2 linked regions of the Arabidopsis thaliana genome follow. The protein of the gene in region 1 interacts with the protein of each later gene in a pairwise test. Each region holds a gene or a part of one and is shown in the gene's direction. Other genes may lie near its edges. The genes, in order: CGL1 and MNS1.

Region 1 (6,442 bases):
CACGTTTTCACACCAGAGACGGAATACCATCTCAGCTCCATCTTCGTCGACATGCAGAGACCAACTGTAACCTTCCTTTTTTAGAGTACATTGATTGTTTGTTTAACACTTTCCATAAATATTCAGTCTCACTCATGGAGATACAGGGGCGTTATGGGACCAGAAGCATCTCTGCGATCATCGTCAAGTCCCATGGAGATGGTGGTGGTGATGGTGAGATTTGCTTCTACGAGAGGCATCTTGAAGAAGGCGATTCATGGAAGGAACACACTCAACAGTTTGTAATAATACAAAACCAAAGCATTTGATTAGCTAGCCAGGCTTATTTCGCGAGCTTCCCTTGCTTGTAACATTGAGAAATCAAAACTCTCACATATGTTGTACATGTAAACACAAAACAGAAGACAGAGCTGATCTCTTTTATTCCAAACCATCAAAATACAAATACAATCACAGTTACTCTTAAAACCACAACCAATTCCATATACATAATTGCACACAAGGAGAGAAAAACCTCTCCAATCTCTGACTTCACGGACGCTCACACTTTGACAGAGAAGATCTCACTCAGGGAACTCCAAGTTCCCGACACAGCAAGAACCACACCTAGTACCACAATCGCTGTGTCTGAACTCCATTGCAGCCACCCCATCTCTTCCTTGAACACCAATAAATGAAACAATGCAGGTAACACAAAGCCTAACACACAGCAAGTGCTGCTGCCAACCAATGACAAAAAATCTGCAAAGTTTGGCACAAAAAGAGCCACCAGAGTCACTGCTAAGACGAGTACCCATCTGAGCCACGCAGAGTACATCCCGCGTGAGAAACGCCTCTCCACTATCTCAAACACTGGATTCATCATCAAGGGGAAGGTGAAGAAGAGGTTGATGCACAGTCCAAGCTGGACAACAGTGCTGACAAGTCCTGCCCCCAAGTTAGCAGTGATAATGTCCATGGTGTCCTCACCAAAAGCCAAGTAACCTAAGATACCAAATGCGATGTATATGAGAGAGATGAATCCCATGCCGAGAGCCAAGACTTTGCCAAACTTGTCCTTGTCCTTCATCTCCGATTCAAGAGGCAAGACCATTCCAACGCCTTCGAAGGAATAGACAGCGACGCCCATACCATACAAGAAGAGGGACATACCACCAAAGGCAACCACGTCAGGCCTTTGCTTGAGTATAATCATGGAATCCTCAACAATGACCACAGCCATAGCGCCAAGATCAACAATATCGGCGAAGATGCTGAGAGGAGCCAAGTGAGTGAGCGTCTTGATCGAATTCAAACCGAGCTGAAAGGGAAAGCATCCCCATATGTAGAGACTCTTAGAAGACACGCCCAGGAATTCAGAACCCAGCCTTGTAAACTGATGCCTCAGACTGGTGGGCGATTCAGGATCGGATAGATTAGCTAAAGTAGTGCCGATGAAGATAAGATATCCGACACAAAAACCAGCTTGAGACAGAATGATAAATAAGTCAACGACGATCCTCCCCAAGGAGCCGCAGACGGCGAATCCAAGGTCACCAAAAGAGCCGATCTTGGAGATGCCAGCATTGAAAGAGTCGAGCTTGCGGCGGGTATAGACAAGAAGCATCATACAGTGATGGGTCAAAACAGAGACGGAGACGAGGAGGAGGACACCCATGAGCCATCCGGTTCGCTTGAAGGCGTAAGGAAGACCAAGAACACCAGCGCCGACGACAGCGATGAAGACGTTGGCGAAGGTCTTAAACTGGCTGGAGAGGGGAGGTCCCTTGCCGAGAAGAGGCGAGTCCTCTCTGGCCGGTGGAGGTATTTTAAGGGTATAAGAGGAGGAGCTAGCTTCGTTCTGAAAACCCATCTGATGATTTTCGACCGAATCTCAGAAATCGAAGAAGATGGGGATGGATATTGGCGAATGGCGACAGCAAGATAATTGGATGAATTGCGTGTAGAGTTGGTGGACTCTCTTTTTTGGTTTGTTGTCAGAGATTTACAGAGGAAGAAGCTCGGCTCTATTTATGGATGAAATGAAATGGTCATCTTATCATTTTTACTGGGAAACGGTACCGTTTTTGTTATAACGCACGACGCCGTTTCAAACAACTTCCTTATTAGCTAGCTCCCTCCCGGCGGCAAACACCAGAAGATCCACCGGTTTTGATCTGGTTGTTTGTCGTCGATATGGCGAGGATCTCGTGTGACTTGAGATTTCTTCTCATCCCGGCAGCTTTCATGTTCATCTACATCCAGGTCAATCTATATCCGATGATCTCGCTTTTTGAAGTTGAAACTGAAATTGATTCCATCGCTGCAACCTAAATCTGTCTGTAATTATCCTCTCTTCTCTTCTCTAGATGAGGCTTTTCCAGACGCAATCACAGTATGCAGATCGCCTCAGTTCCGCTGTGAGTTTCTACTTTTACCACTGCCTTTTGTCTTTAGACCATTGCTACTAGTTCCTTTTGAAATCCCATTTTTTGGCTCTTTACAAGCCCATGAACTACTTTCAAGAAGAAGACACTATCTGCACTATTACACCATATCATTGCCTTTGGTATTTCGATTTTTTCCTGGTGTGTGATGAAGATCTATACACAGCCTTTCATTTGTTTCTCCAGATCGAATCTGAGAACCATTGCACTAGTCAAATGCGAGGCCTCATAGATGAAGTTAGCATCAAACAGTCGCGGATTGTTGCCCTCGAAGGTATATCCCCTTCTTCTTTCCTCATTGGGACTTGTGGAATCCTAGATGACCATGGTTCTTGGAACCTATTGAATACTATACAAAATTAACTTTCTAAATGGAGTAGAAGACTTATACATTGATTTCTGAGTGTCTTGTAGATATGAAGAACCGCCAGGACGAAGAACTTGTGCAGCTTAAGGATCTAATCCAGACGTTTGAAAGTGCCTTACTATCACCTGTAAAACTCATTTTCTTGCTTTCTTTTTATTAGTTTTTCTACTAATGCTTATTTTCTTCCTCCAGAAAAAGGAATAGCAAAACTCACTCAAGGTGGACAGGTCTGGATAAGAAGATGCCTTTCTTCGTATTTGTAACTGCTATCACTTGCTATATATATACATCTAACCTGTTTCTTGTTTTTTATTTAGCAGATGCCTGTGGCTGCTGTAGTGGTTATGGCCTGCAGTCGTGCAGACTATCTTGAAAGGACTGTTAAATCAGTTTTAACGTGAGATACTATACTGATTTAATTCTTATACCACATTTTGATTGAACTATCTAATGGCTATTTCTTTTTTTATACAGATATCAAACTCCCGTTGCTTCAAAATATCCTCTATTTATATCTCAGGTACTTAATTTGCAGGGTGGTGGTCTCTTAGACTGTTTTATATTCAACGAATTACTAACCATGGTCTTTTCCAACGACATATTTTCTGACAGGATGGATCTGATCAAGCTGTCAAGAGCAAGTCATTGAGCTATAATCAATTAACATATATGCAGGTAATTTAATCTAGCGTGATTTTTCTCCTCACTGTTCAAGTAGATAAATGAGGATGAAGGCTCGTTTTCCCCTTTTCAGCACTTGGATTTTGAACCAGTGGTCACTGAAAGGCCTGGCGAACTGACTGCGTACTACAAGATTGCACGTAAGGACTGGTTTCTCTTTTCTCTGCGTCCCTCCAGCTCCATTACTGAAACACTTTTTAATACAGGTCACTACAAGTGGGCACTGGACCAGTTGTTTTACAAACACAAATTTAGTCGAGTGATTATACTAGAAGGTGGCGCTTTTTAACCTTTCACACTCATCGTACCTTGCTGTTGTATTGTTTAAGAGGGGCTGTCTTTACCTTGTGGAGTATTGCTTAAGAGAGGTTATCTTGTCTCTTTAACAGATGATATGGAAATTGCTCCAGACTTCTTTGATTACTTTGAGGCTGCAGCTAGTCTCATGGATAGGGATAAGTATGTTACCTACTGAAGCTAGACTCTTATAGTATAAGTTTCCACAGAGTATACAAATGTTTTTATTACTGTTTCTCATTCTTTTCTGGTCCAAACATGTGTTAGAACCATTATGGCTGCTTCATCATGGAATGATAATGGACAGAAGCAGTTTGTGCATGATCCCTGTAAGATTCTTCTTCTTCTTCTTCTTTACCTTGCTTCCTCTCTTGCCTGTTCTTTCAATACCTCATTATGTCTAGCTCATGCGAGCTAAAATAATCTGCAGATGCGCTATACCGATCAGATTTTTTTCCTGGCCTTGGGTGGATGCTCAAGAGATCGACTTGGGATGAGTTATCACCAAAGTGGCCAAAGGCATATCCTTATATGCTTTTTTTTCTTTCAATCTCGATGACTATAGTTTGACGCTTCTTAAATTCTAAAAAAAAAAATAGTTTGACGTTTCTAAGACTTTTCTTAACAAATATCCACTTACTGGGATGATTGGCTGAGACTAAAGGAAAACCATAAAGGCCGCCAATTCATTCGACCGGAAGTCTGTAGAACATACAATTTTGGTGAACATGTTAGTACCCGATTATGCTATCCTATATATCATAGTTTTACAAGTCTGTTTTTGTAATGCTGTTAAATTGACCTATGTTCGCTGCATATGACTTCTGCTTTCTGTATGAAAAATGTATTATTGCAGCTTCGTCCTATAGTTTCCCGACACATGGATGTAGACAGTCAATACCACATAATATATTTTTGCATTTCATACTTATCCATAACCTTGTTATATTAATTTGGCAGGGGTCTAGTTTGGGACAGTTTTTCAGTCAGTATCTGGAACCTATAAAGCTAAACGATGTGACGGTAAGCGTAAGTGTGTTTTTTACCCCCTTTTGTTGCATCACTAGTTTTCACTGGTTTCCTATTTCATTCATAAAGGTTGACTGGAAAGCAAAGGACCTGGGATACCTGACAGAGGTAACATTTACAGAACTCCGGCCTTTTTTTTTTATACCATTTTGCATGTTTTGAGTGGAGAAATGTAGTTTTTAACCTGTTCTCTCATGTCTATCAAAGGGAAACTATACCAAGTACTTTTCTGGCTTAGTGAGACAAGCACGACCAATTCAAGGTTCTGACCTTGTCTTAAAGGCTCAAAACATAAAGGATGATGTTCGTATCCGGTATAAAGACCAAGTAGAGTTTGAACGCATTGCAGGGGAATTTGGTATATTTGAAGAATGGAAGGTAAATTTGAGATGATTGAACTATAATCTTCAATAATTGTAGGTCCAAATGGGTCACTTTTTTTGTACCCCTTTGATTGTGTAGGATGGTGTGCCTCGAACAGCATATAAAGGAGTAGTGGTGTTTCGAATCCAGACAACAAGACGTGTATTCCTGGTTGGGCCAGATTCTGTAATGCAGCTTGGAATTCGAAATTCCTGATGCAAAACATGTACTTCTCCAACCAGCATCATTTACATCTTAACCATTGCTTACAGTTCTGTGCTAACCGGGTTTCACAAGCAGATGAAAGGAAAAGAAGATTTTGGACCGCATGCAGCCTCCTTCTAGCAGCTGTTAGGTTGTATTGTTATTTATGGATGAGTTTGTCGAGCGGTGGGGTTAACTTTAACAGCAAGGAAGCTCTGGTGACCTGGCTGATTGGCTTAGAAGTTATGGGAACCCCTTGAAAGGGTCAGGGTTAAATATATTTCAGTTGTTTTATTAGTGATTATCTTGTGGGTAACTTATACGAATGCAAATCATTCTATGCAGTTTTTCTTCGTCCCACTTGTTTTGGCTTCTCTATTGCTAGTGTACATATCTCTTCAAACATGTACTAAATAATGCGTGTTGCTTCAAAGAAGTAACTTTTATTACATCTTTGGCGAGTAGCCAATCAAGGCACTCGACCCATCTTCTCTGGTATAACCCGTCAACTAGAATCTGAGGCCATGGGATCATTAAAGGTTTGTTCCGATGCGACCAATTGGAGGTCTTGATTTGTCTCATGTGAAGTAGGCCTAAGAAAAGAGCCTTGTGGAGTTCCCCTGCATTTTTAGAATATTCTAATTAAAGAGACAGATCTGTTGATGACTATTAATCAAAGATATCTTCTTCTTTTGTTATTTTTAGTCAGGATGTGGAGACGTTGGCGAGAATATTGCAAAACCATGTTCAACAATGTGTATCATCGGATCTGCACCAATCTGACTTAATTTTCATCCATTCTTATCATCTTTGTCTGGTACACATCCATCTCTTCCTCTAATTCCCCTGTTTTGATGTCTCTCCTTATTATTGCGATTTCTTTATGCTAAATTCGTATAATGTTTCAGATCTTGCTATGGGACTTGCTCTGTTTTCCTCTGATGGCAAACTAATTTGGAAGGGGAGGTGAACTAACTTGGTAAGGGATTTGTTTGATGGGCAATTCTTTACAAGCCAAACCACTTCTAATACATTTTGTCTTTCAACGATTTGTTTCAGCACACAAACTGGCAAA
Region 2 (6,578 bases), on another chromosome or scaffold:
TTTGGGAGAGCAACCATAAAAGAAGTATAACTAGACCAAGTTGTTGATTTAGACATCAATGTACCTCAAAGCTACCTCCTTGCGGACTGTATACCGAATCTTCTTATCAAAATTCCTTCCTTTCCGTTTCTCTCGAAATCTGACCAAAGAAGCTAATCGCTGCGGAATACTAAACCTTTGAGGAGTACCAGGTAAACTCTGTTTCATTGATTAGTCAGTCAGTCAGTCAAGCAATGTATCAAGGAAGGGAACTTATGTCCCATAAATGCCATCATATATTTTATTACCGATACTCTGTTGTTCTGATGAGGTGATCCTAGGCCAGGAGGGGCTGCCTGAGGTAATTCACGACCACCCAATAATAGAAGCACAGCTTGAACCTGCAACAGGCGTCGAATAGCAAGAGGCACTCACACATTAGAATCAATAGATGGAAAAAACTCAAAGCTAACTAGATCCTTCAACCACTTGCTAAAATGTGGCTTGGAGTAAGAATATAAATTCTAATGGAATGAGACAATCAACGAACCAACTCAGTAACAACTTAACTCACCTTCTCAGGCAAGACACTGTCAAAAACGTAGACTTGGCCCTGAAAAGACAATGTTAACTGATCTCCTTGTTCACTACCACGGTCGACCACTTCACCACGATTGTCAGTTACATTTCCAGGGTGAGAAGGAATGTCTGTTTCCACACCCTCACTCATCCCACCAGCATTGCCATCATCAGCCTGGTCATCAACCATACCGCTTCCATTGTGGATGTGATGCAAAGCATGATGTTCAAATTGCACATGCATTGGATCTTGAGCTTCTCTAATGTGCATTCGAGCATTGCTTCCATGTAGGTCATCCATGGTTGCTTTTCATCAATCTACCTAATGATAACAGTGAAAGTAAAACAAATTAACATTAAAACTGGAAACTTCAAACAAAAACACCTAATCTTCATAAGCACGATTCATGGATGACCAGACAAATCAAATCAGCTCTAAGCAAAACATGATTCACATACTATATAACCTTACTTCCTCGGTCATTGGAGCAACTTACATATAAGTTCTAACTAACACTATACATAAATTCAGGAAACCTTATGGATCAATGCTTGTTTTCAAGAGATTAACACAGACTTCTAACATATTTGCATCAATCAGATTCAATCCAAAGTTTCAATATTTCCACGCTCTAAGCCTTACATAAACCATATTATACCAATTCCACAAACTCACTTATAATTTCAACAAACAAAATAAACCCTAAGAAACAAAAGCAAATCCTGAAACAAAGCGACATCCAAAACCATTGAAATATAGGTTCCTCATTACGACACACGAAACCAATATAAGAGTTAAGATGATGTTACCTGTTCGTGGGGAGCAACACCAAAAAGAGAAGAATGAAAGATGTTCGAAAGACCCAAACGAGAAACACCAAATAACACGACGGAAACGATGAAGATGACAATTGAACCGATGGATAACGCCACAAATAGAAGAACAGAGACAAACCAAACCCACCAGAACACCAACGAGACGAAAATGGAAACCAGATAGAAAGAGAAATCGAAGAAAGAGACGAACCAGTGGGGGCTAAAGAGACTCGATTGATTATTTTATCATCAAAAGAATAAATAAGCAAAAGTGCCGGAGATATAAATAAATACTTTTCTTTTGGTTTTTGGGTAAAGTTTCGTTTTTTAATTCTTTCTTCGTCTTCCTCCTTCTAACTACTAAAATCGGATCTATAACTTTTGTTCTTTGAGAGACTTATTTCTCTCTCGGTTTCTTACTCTTTTCGGATCAGAAATTTAAAAGCTTTTAACTTTTGTCTTGCTCTGTTTCATGGACACTGATTTCTCAATTGGTCTCTGTTTTTGTTGAGTGGGTTGAGAAGAGAGATGGCGAGAAGTAGATCGATTAGTGGTTATGGGATATGGAAATATTTGAATCCTGCGTATTATCTTAGAAGACCGAGACGTTTGGCTTTGCTTTTCATTGTCTTCGTCTCTGTTTCTATGCTTGTCTGGGATCGTATTAATCTTGCCCGAGAACATGAGGTATGTTTTGTCTAATGAAATCTGGTTAGACTCTGCCTAGGAGTAGGAGATAGTTCTTGTATCATAGCTTATTGGTAGGCCAATTCGAATTTTGGTGAAGTAGGTTATATGGTTTAGGCCTGGAATGGTTTGATTGCCTTCATAGCTCAAGGTCTATAAGTAAGACAGTTGGTGTTTTATTTACTAGAAAAGAGCTGTAATTAATATCTTCTGGACTCAATTCATGTATTCGTTTATAAGAAGCTATGTAACCAAAATAAGAAAAATGTCAAGGAAGTGAACAATTTCTCTTGTGATCATTCTCTCACTTGTCCTGCTTTTTTTTGTCTTGCAGGTTGAAGTTTTTAAGCTAAATGAAGAAGTTTCACGGTTGGAGCAGATGGTAAGATTAATATTTTCCCCTCACTCTAGGCTCAGATAGTCTTTCTAATGTTTTAGCTAACTAACTATATTTTCCGCTAGTTAGAAGAGCTTAATGGTGGTGTTGGCAATAAGCCTTTGAAGACTCTGAAGGATGCCCCAGAAGATCCAGTTGATAAACAGCGAAGGCAGAAAGTAAAAGAGGCAATGATCCATGCTTGGAGCTCTTATGAAAAGTATGCATGGGGGAAAGATGAGCTTCAGGTATACAATTATTTTCCAAAATACATTTCACCCTTGTGAATACGAAATCTAGTTTACGACGGACTCTATGAATCAAATTTTATTTTGACGTTTAGTGCCTGCTCTTCCAGTATCCTGTTGAGCCTTTTATTATGAGCTTATCTGAAGTTACCAGGCCTACAAAGATTTTGTTAAGAACTAAGATTATTTTCTTCCTGAACTCTGCAAAAAAAATATTGGTCTGAAGCTATTCTTGTTTCTTTCCTTTTTTTATTGTCAGCCTCGGACAAAAGATGGCACTGATAGCTTTGGTGGCCTTGGAGCAACTATGGTAGATTCTTTAGATACACTCTATATAATGGGTCTAGATGAGCAGTTTCAAAAAGCCAGAGAGTGAGTAATTGCAGGCTCTTCATTTATTCATATGTAACTGTTTTCGTCCCAGTTGCAAATCCAACTTTTTACTTCTTCATCTTTGCTAATCTTCATTTGCTTATTGTCTTTTATTTGCAGGTGGGTTGCAAGCTCATTGGATTTCGACAAGGATTATGACGCCAGTATGTTTGAGACAACCATAAGGTGGCTTTAACAGGTTTACTGTGGTTGTTTTCTGTAATTATCGTAGGAAGAGTCAGTTTATTTGCGATTATCAGTTGGTGACATAAGATGGGGAACGGATATTGCATCTGCTTATATTCTTTTTCTTTATCTGCCTTCAGAGTTGTAGGCGGACTTCTTAGTGCGTATGATCTTTCTGGGGACAAAATGTTCCTTGAAAAGGCTAAGGATATTGCAGACAGATTATTGCCTGCATGGAATACTCCAACGGGTATACCTTACAATATTATCAACTTGAGAAATGGAAATGCTCACAATCCTTCATGGGCGGCAGGGGTGAGTCCTAGATTACTGAGTGCCGTGTATGTTGTATTGTGTCATCTTGTGTCATGTAGATCTTTTTAAAGCCTAACCTTGGAATCCAATGATTGGATACAAATCTTTATTCGTTTCTAGAAAAAATGGCTCCTGAAACTCTGTGCACTTGTTCTGTAGTTGACTTAGGTTCCTGATTATGTTTCTAAAGGACTCCTTAGAGTCTATTTGATAGCTTAAATCCAAGTTCTGACCACTTTCTTAGATGATTCAACCCCGTATAAAAACTAAGATCTGGACTCGGCAGAAACAGCCAAGTTATGGTTTCTCTGTATGCAACAATTAACATTCTTGTTTGGGGTCTAGACTTTTAAACAGGTGTTACGTTTAGAGTTTATGGTAGCTATAGTTTCTTAACTAACTATATATTCACTAGCAATCATATGCAGTGTCTTTGAAATGAGTACCAAGTGTGATCAGGTTTAGATATGTTTCAGTTTCATTGAGGACATGTGCTGTGTCAGTTTTACTGATTGCTACACTTTTTTTTTGTTTTACTAGGGAGACAGTATTCTCGCAGACTCCGGCACTGAGCAGCTCGAGTTTATTGCCCTTTCCCAAAGGACAGGGGACCCAAAATATCAGCAGAAGGTAGATACTAATTTTGAGTTTGTCCAACAGATTTTCTTTATATCCTAACTCGGTGTGAAAAAGTGGGCAATCAATCTGCATTAATGCTGAAGAAAATATTGGCTGCTCAAGATTGACACGTTTGCTAACTCATGTCTCTCAGGTAGAGAAGGTTATTACAGAACTGAATAAGAACTTTCCTGCTGATGGTTTACTTCCCATCTATATAAATCCGGATAATGCTAATCCATCGTACTCTACCACAACATTTGGTGCCATGGGAGATAGGTAGTTTCTTCCTCCAAATTTTCATTTTGTGTTGGTCGGGTCTTGTGACCATGACTTTGCTCTCTAACTTTTAATAATAATTTGGTTTTACAGCTTTTATGAGTATTTGCTCAAAGTTTGGGTGCAAGGGAACAAAACATCTGCCGTGAAACCCTATAGGTAAGTAAAGCTCGACGCTGTGTATATACACCCAAGTAATTCAATATCAGCAATAAAGGATAAGGACTAAATCTTTCTTAATGTATTGAATCAGAGATATGTGGGAGAAATCAATGAAAGGTTTGTTAAGCTTGGTCAAGAAATCAACACCTTCATCATTTACGTATATATGTGAGAAGAACGGAAATAATTTGATTGATAAGGTAAAAACTATTCTAATTTCAACTCTCTACTTTGAGAATTTTGTTGGTTTTGACATAATTTCAACATTCAGATGGATGAATTGGCGTGCTTTGCTCCTGGAATGTTGGCTTTAGGAGCTTCAGGTTATGGCCCTGATGAAGAAAAAAAGTTTCTTTCACTTGCTGGAGAGGTGCCTTAGAATCTCAATTGTATGTTGAGTATAACTTTCTGCTGTGTCCTTATTGCTGTTTCCCTCACTTTACTGCAGCTTGCCTGGACTTGTTATAACTTTTACCAATCGACACCAACGAAACTTGCTGGAGAGAACTATTTCTTCACTGCAGGGCAGGTTGGTAAATACTTTTTGCGCATCTGTTTGTATGTTAGTTGGTTGGTTATGTCGTATCCATAAGCACATGATTGTTTCAGGACATGAGTGTTGGCACATCTTGGAACATTTTAAGACCAGAAACCGTTGAATCACTGTTTTACCTCTGGCGATTAACTGGGAACAAGACATATCAAGAGTGGGGATGGAATATATTTCAAGCATTTGAGAAGAACTCTCGCGTAGAATCTGGATATGTAGGCTTGAAGGATGTAAGTTTCGAGCCGGGCTGACCTTAACCAATCAGATACCCTCCTCGAGTGGGCCTTTCCATCTTTCGGAAACACGTTGTTAACGTTTGCTTCTTCATTTTCAGGTCAATACAGGTGCTAAAGACAACAAGATGCAAAGCTTCTTCTTAGCTGAGACTCTTAAGTATCTATATCTTCTCTTTTCGCCTTCATCTGTTATTTCATTAGACGAGTGGGTTTTCAACACAGAAGCCCATCCGCTTAAGATTGTGGCACGGAATGATCCGCGTAAGCCAACTATAGCACTACGCCAGAGGAAGTTTGGTCATCAGATTAACGTTTAGTAGACAGTTTCTGCTCAAATGGAATTTGATATTATTATATATTACCACAAAGTTTGAGGCACATTGTTGTATCAGTTTAAAGAACAGATGGACAACGTTTTTGCCACAGCAATTTGTAGAGGTACTTTACTGTTTCCTATGATTTTTGGATTTGTAGAAGAGCTTTTTTTTACTATCATGTTAAAATTGTACACACTTTGAAAAGAGAGCAATCAAGATTGACCACAGAGAATAAAAGCATGAAGAAGGCTTTGAGCAAAGTGAGCTTGATCCGATGTGCCTGAGACAACCACCAGTCCTTCTGTAGTCCCTGCCTTTGGATCATGCACAACCACATTCGCTCCTGATACCTAGTTGATTAGGTTTACAAACGGTAATCAGATGCAGCCTTTCAAAATGACCAGCTGCTCATATATTATCGGCAACATACCTGTTTGATGTAATTCAGGTTACTGCAGTTCTCACCATAGACATGACCTAAGTATGCTTGAGGAATCACAATCTCCACATTTGCACTTGTCATTACTGGATTCTCGCTGCCAACACCATAACCAAAAGGCAATAATGTGAAATTAGTGGATAAAATTCCTTCGTACAGTTTCTGGCATTTCAAAGTCATTTAGTTTTAAAGTGAACAAAGACAGCGCCGGGAAAGTGATACCTGCCAATGGGCTCATTTCTCAAAGCAAATCCATGGTTCACATCAGGAGGAACCATACCACCGGGATGGCCATCGATTCCCGGCTGGCGATTGAGAAATGTTGAATTAGAAAGAAATAAAAGGACATGACAGCTAACGAAGGAATAAAGATCATTGAGTTCACATACCTGCGGGGTCCAAGACATTGGGGAAGGTGG

The links.
Region 2: the proteins of CGL1 (region 1) and MNS1 come close enough for resonance energy transfer, tested with the Arabidopsis thaliana proteins (one study listed by BioGRID).

Annotation. Positions count from the first base shown.
Region 1 is NC_003075.7:17,930,943-17,937,384, reverse strand, and holds CGL1 (alpha-1,3-mannosyl-glycoprotein beta-1,2-N-acetylglucosaminyltransferase), read left to right. Parts: upstream 1-2,059; 5' UTR 2,060-2,175; coding exon 2,176-2,244; intron 2,245-2,348; coding exon 2,349-2,399; intron 2,400-2,612; coding exon 2,613-2,700; intron 2,701-2,840; coding exon 2,841-2,903; intron 2,904-2,985; coding exon 2,986-3,020; intron 3,021-3,113; coding exon 3,114-3,190; intron 3,191-3,267; coding exon 3,268-3,313; intron 3,314-3,405; coding exon 3,406-3,468; intron 3,469-3,547; coding exon 3,548-3,614; intron 3,615-3,680; coding exon 3,681-3,749; intron 3,750-3,863; coding exon 3,864-3,933; intron 3,934-4,038; coding exon 4,039-4,100; intron 4,101-4,201; coding exon 4,202-4,292; intron 4,293-4,407; coding exon 4,408-4,501; intron 4,502-4,731; coding exon 4,732-4,794; intron 4,795-4,869; coding exon 4,870-4,908; intron 4,909-5,007; coding exon 5,008-5,178; intron 5,179-5,262; coding exon 5,263-5,379; 3' UTR 5,380-5,815; downstream 5,816-6,442. Other genes in the region: AT4G38260 (transport/golgi organization-like protein (DUF833)), read left to right, coding at 1-66, 147-308; AT4G38250 (Transmembrane amino acid transporter family protein), read right to left, coding at 542-1,852; CPK26 (calcium-dependent protein kinase 26), read left to right, coding at 6,284-6,333, 6,427-6,442. UniProt on the Arabidopsis thaliana protein: Initiates complex N-linked carbohydrate formation. Essential for the conversion of high-mannose to hybrid and complex N-glycans. Required for normal root growth and morphology.
Region 2 is NC_003070.9:19,127,457-19,134,034, reverse strand, and holds MNS1 (alpha-mannosidase 1), read left to right. Parts: upstream 1-1,716; 5' UTR 1,717-1,902; coding exon 1,903-2,061; intron 2,062-2,395; coding exon 2,396-2,443; intron 2,444-2,523; coding exon 2,524-2,685; intron 2,686-2,944; coding exon 2,945-3,057; intron 3,058-3,177; coding exon 3,178-3,243; intron 3,244-3,383; coding exon 3,384-3,558; intron 3,559-3,930; exon of another isoform or gene 3,931-4,098; coding exon 4,099-4,188; intron 4,189-4,330; coding exon 4,331-4,455; intron 4,456-4,548; coding exon 4,549-4,614; intron 4,615-4,708; coding exon 4,709-4,817; intron 4,818-4,888; coding exon 4,889-4,987; intron 4,988-5,065; coding exon 5,066-5,146; intron 5,147-5,226; coding exon 5,227-5,397; intron 5,398-5,501; coding exon 5,502-5,720; 3' UTR 5,721-5,891; downstream 5,892-6,578. Other genes in the region: ZML2 (ZIM-LIKE 2), read right to left, coding at 65-198, 288-380, 554-859; AT1G51580 (RNA-binding KH domain-containing protein), read right to left, coding at 5,933-6,070, 6,151-6,256, 6,382-6,464, 6,549-6,578. UniProt on the Arabidopsis thaliana protein: Class I alpha-mannosidase essential for early N-glycan processing. Progressively trims alpha-1,2-linked mannose residues. Produces Man(5)GlcNAc(2) from Man(8)GlcNAc(2), but only Man(6)GlcNAc(2) from Man(9)GlcNAc(2).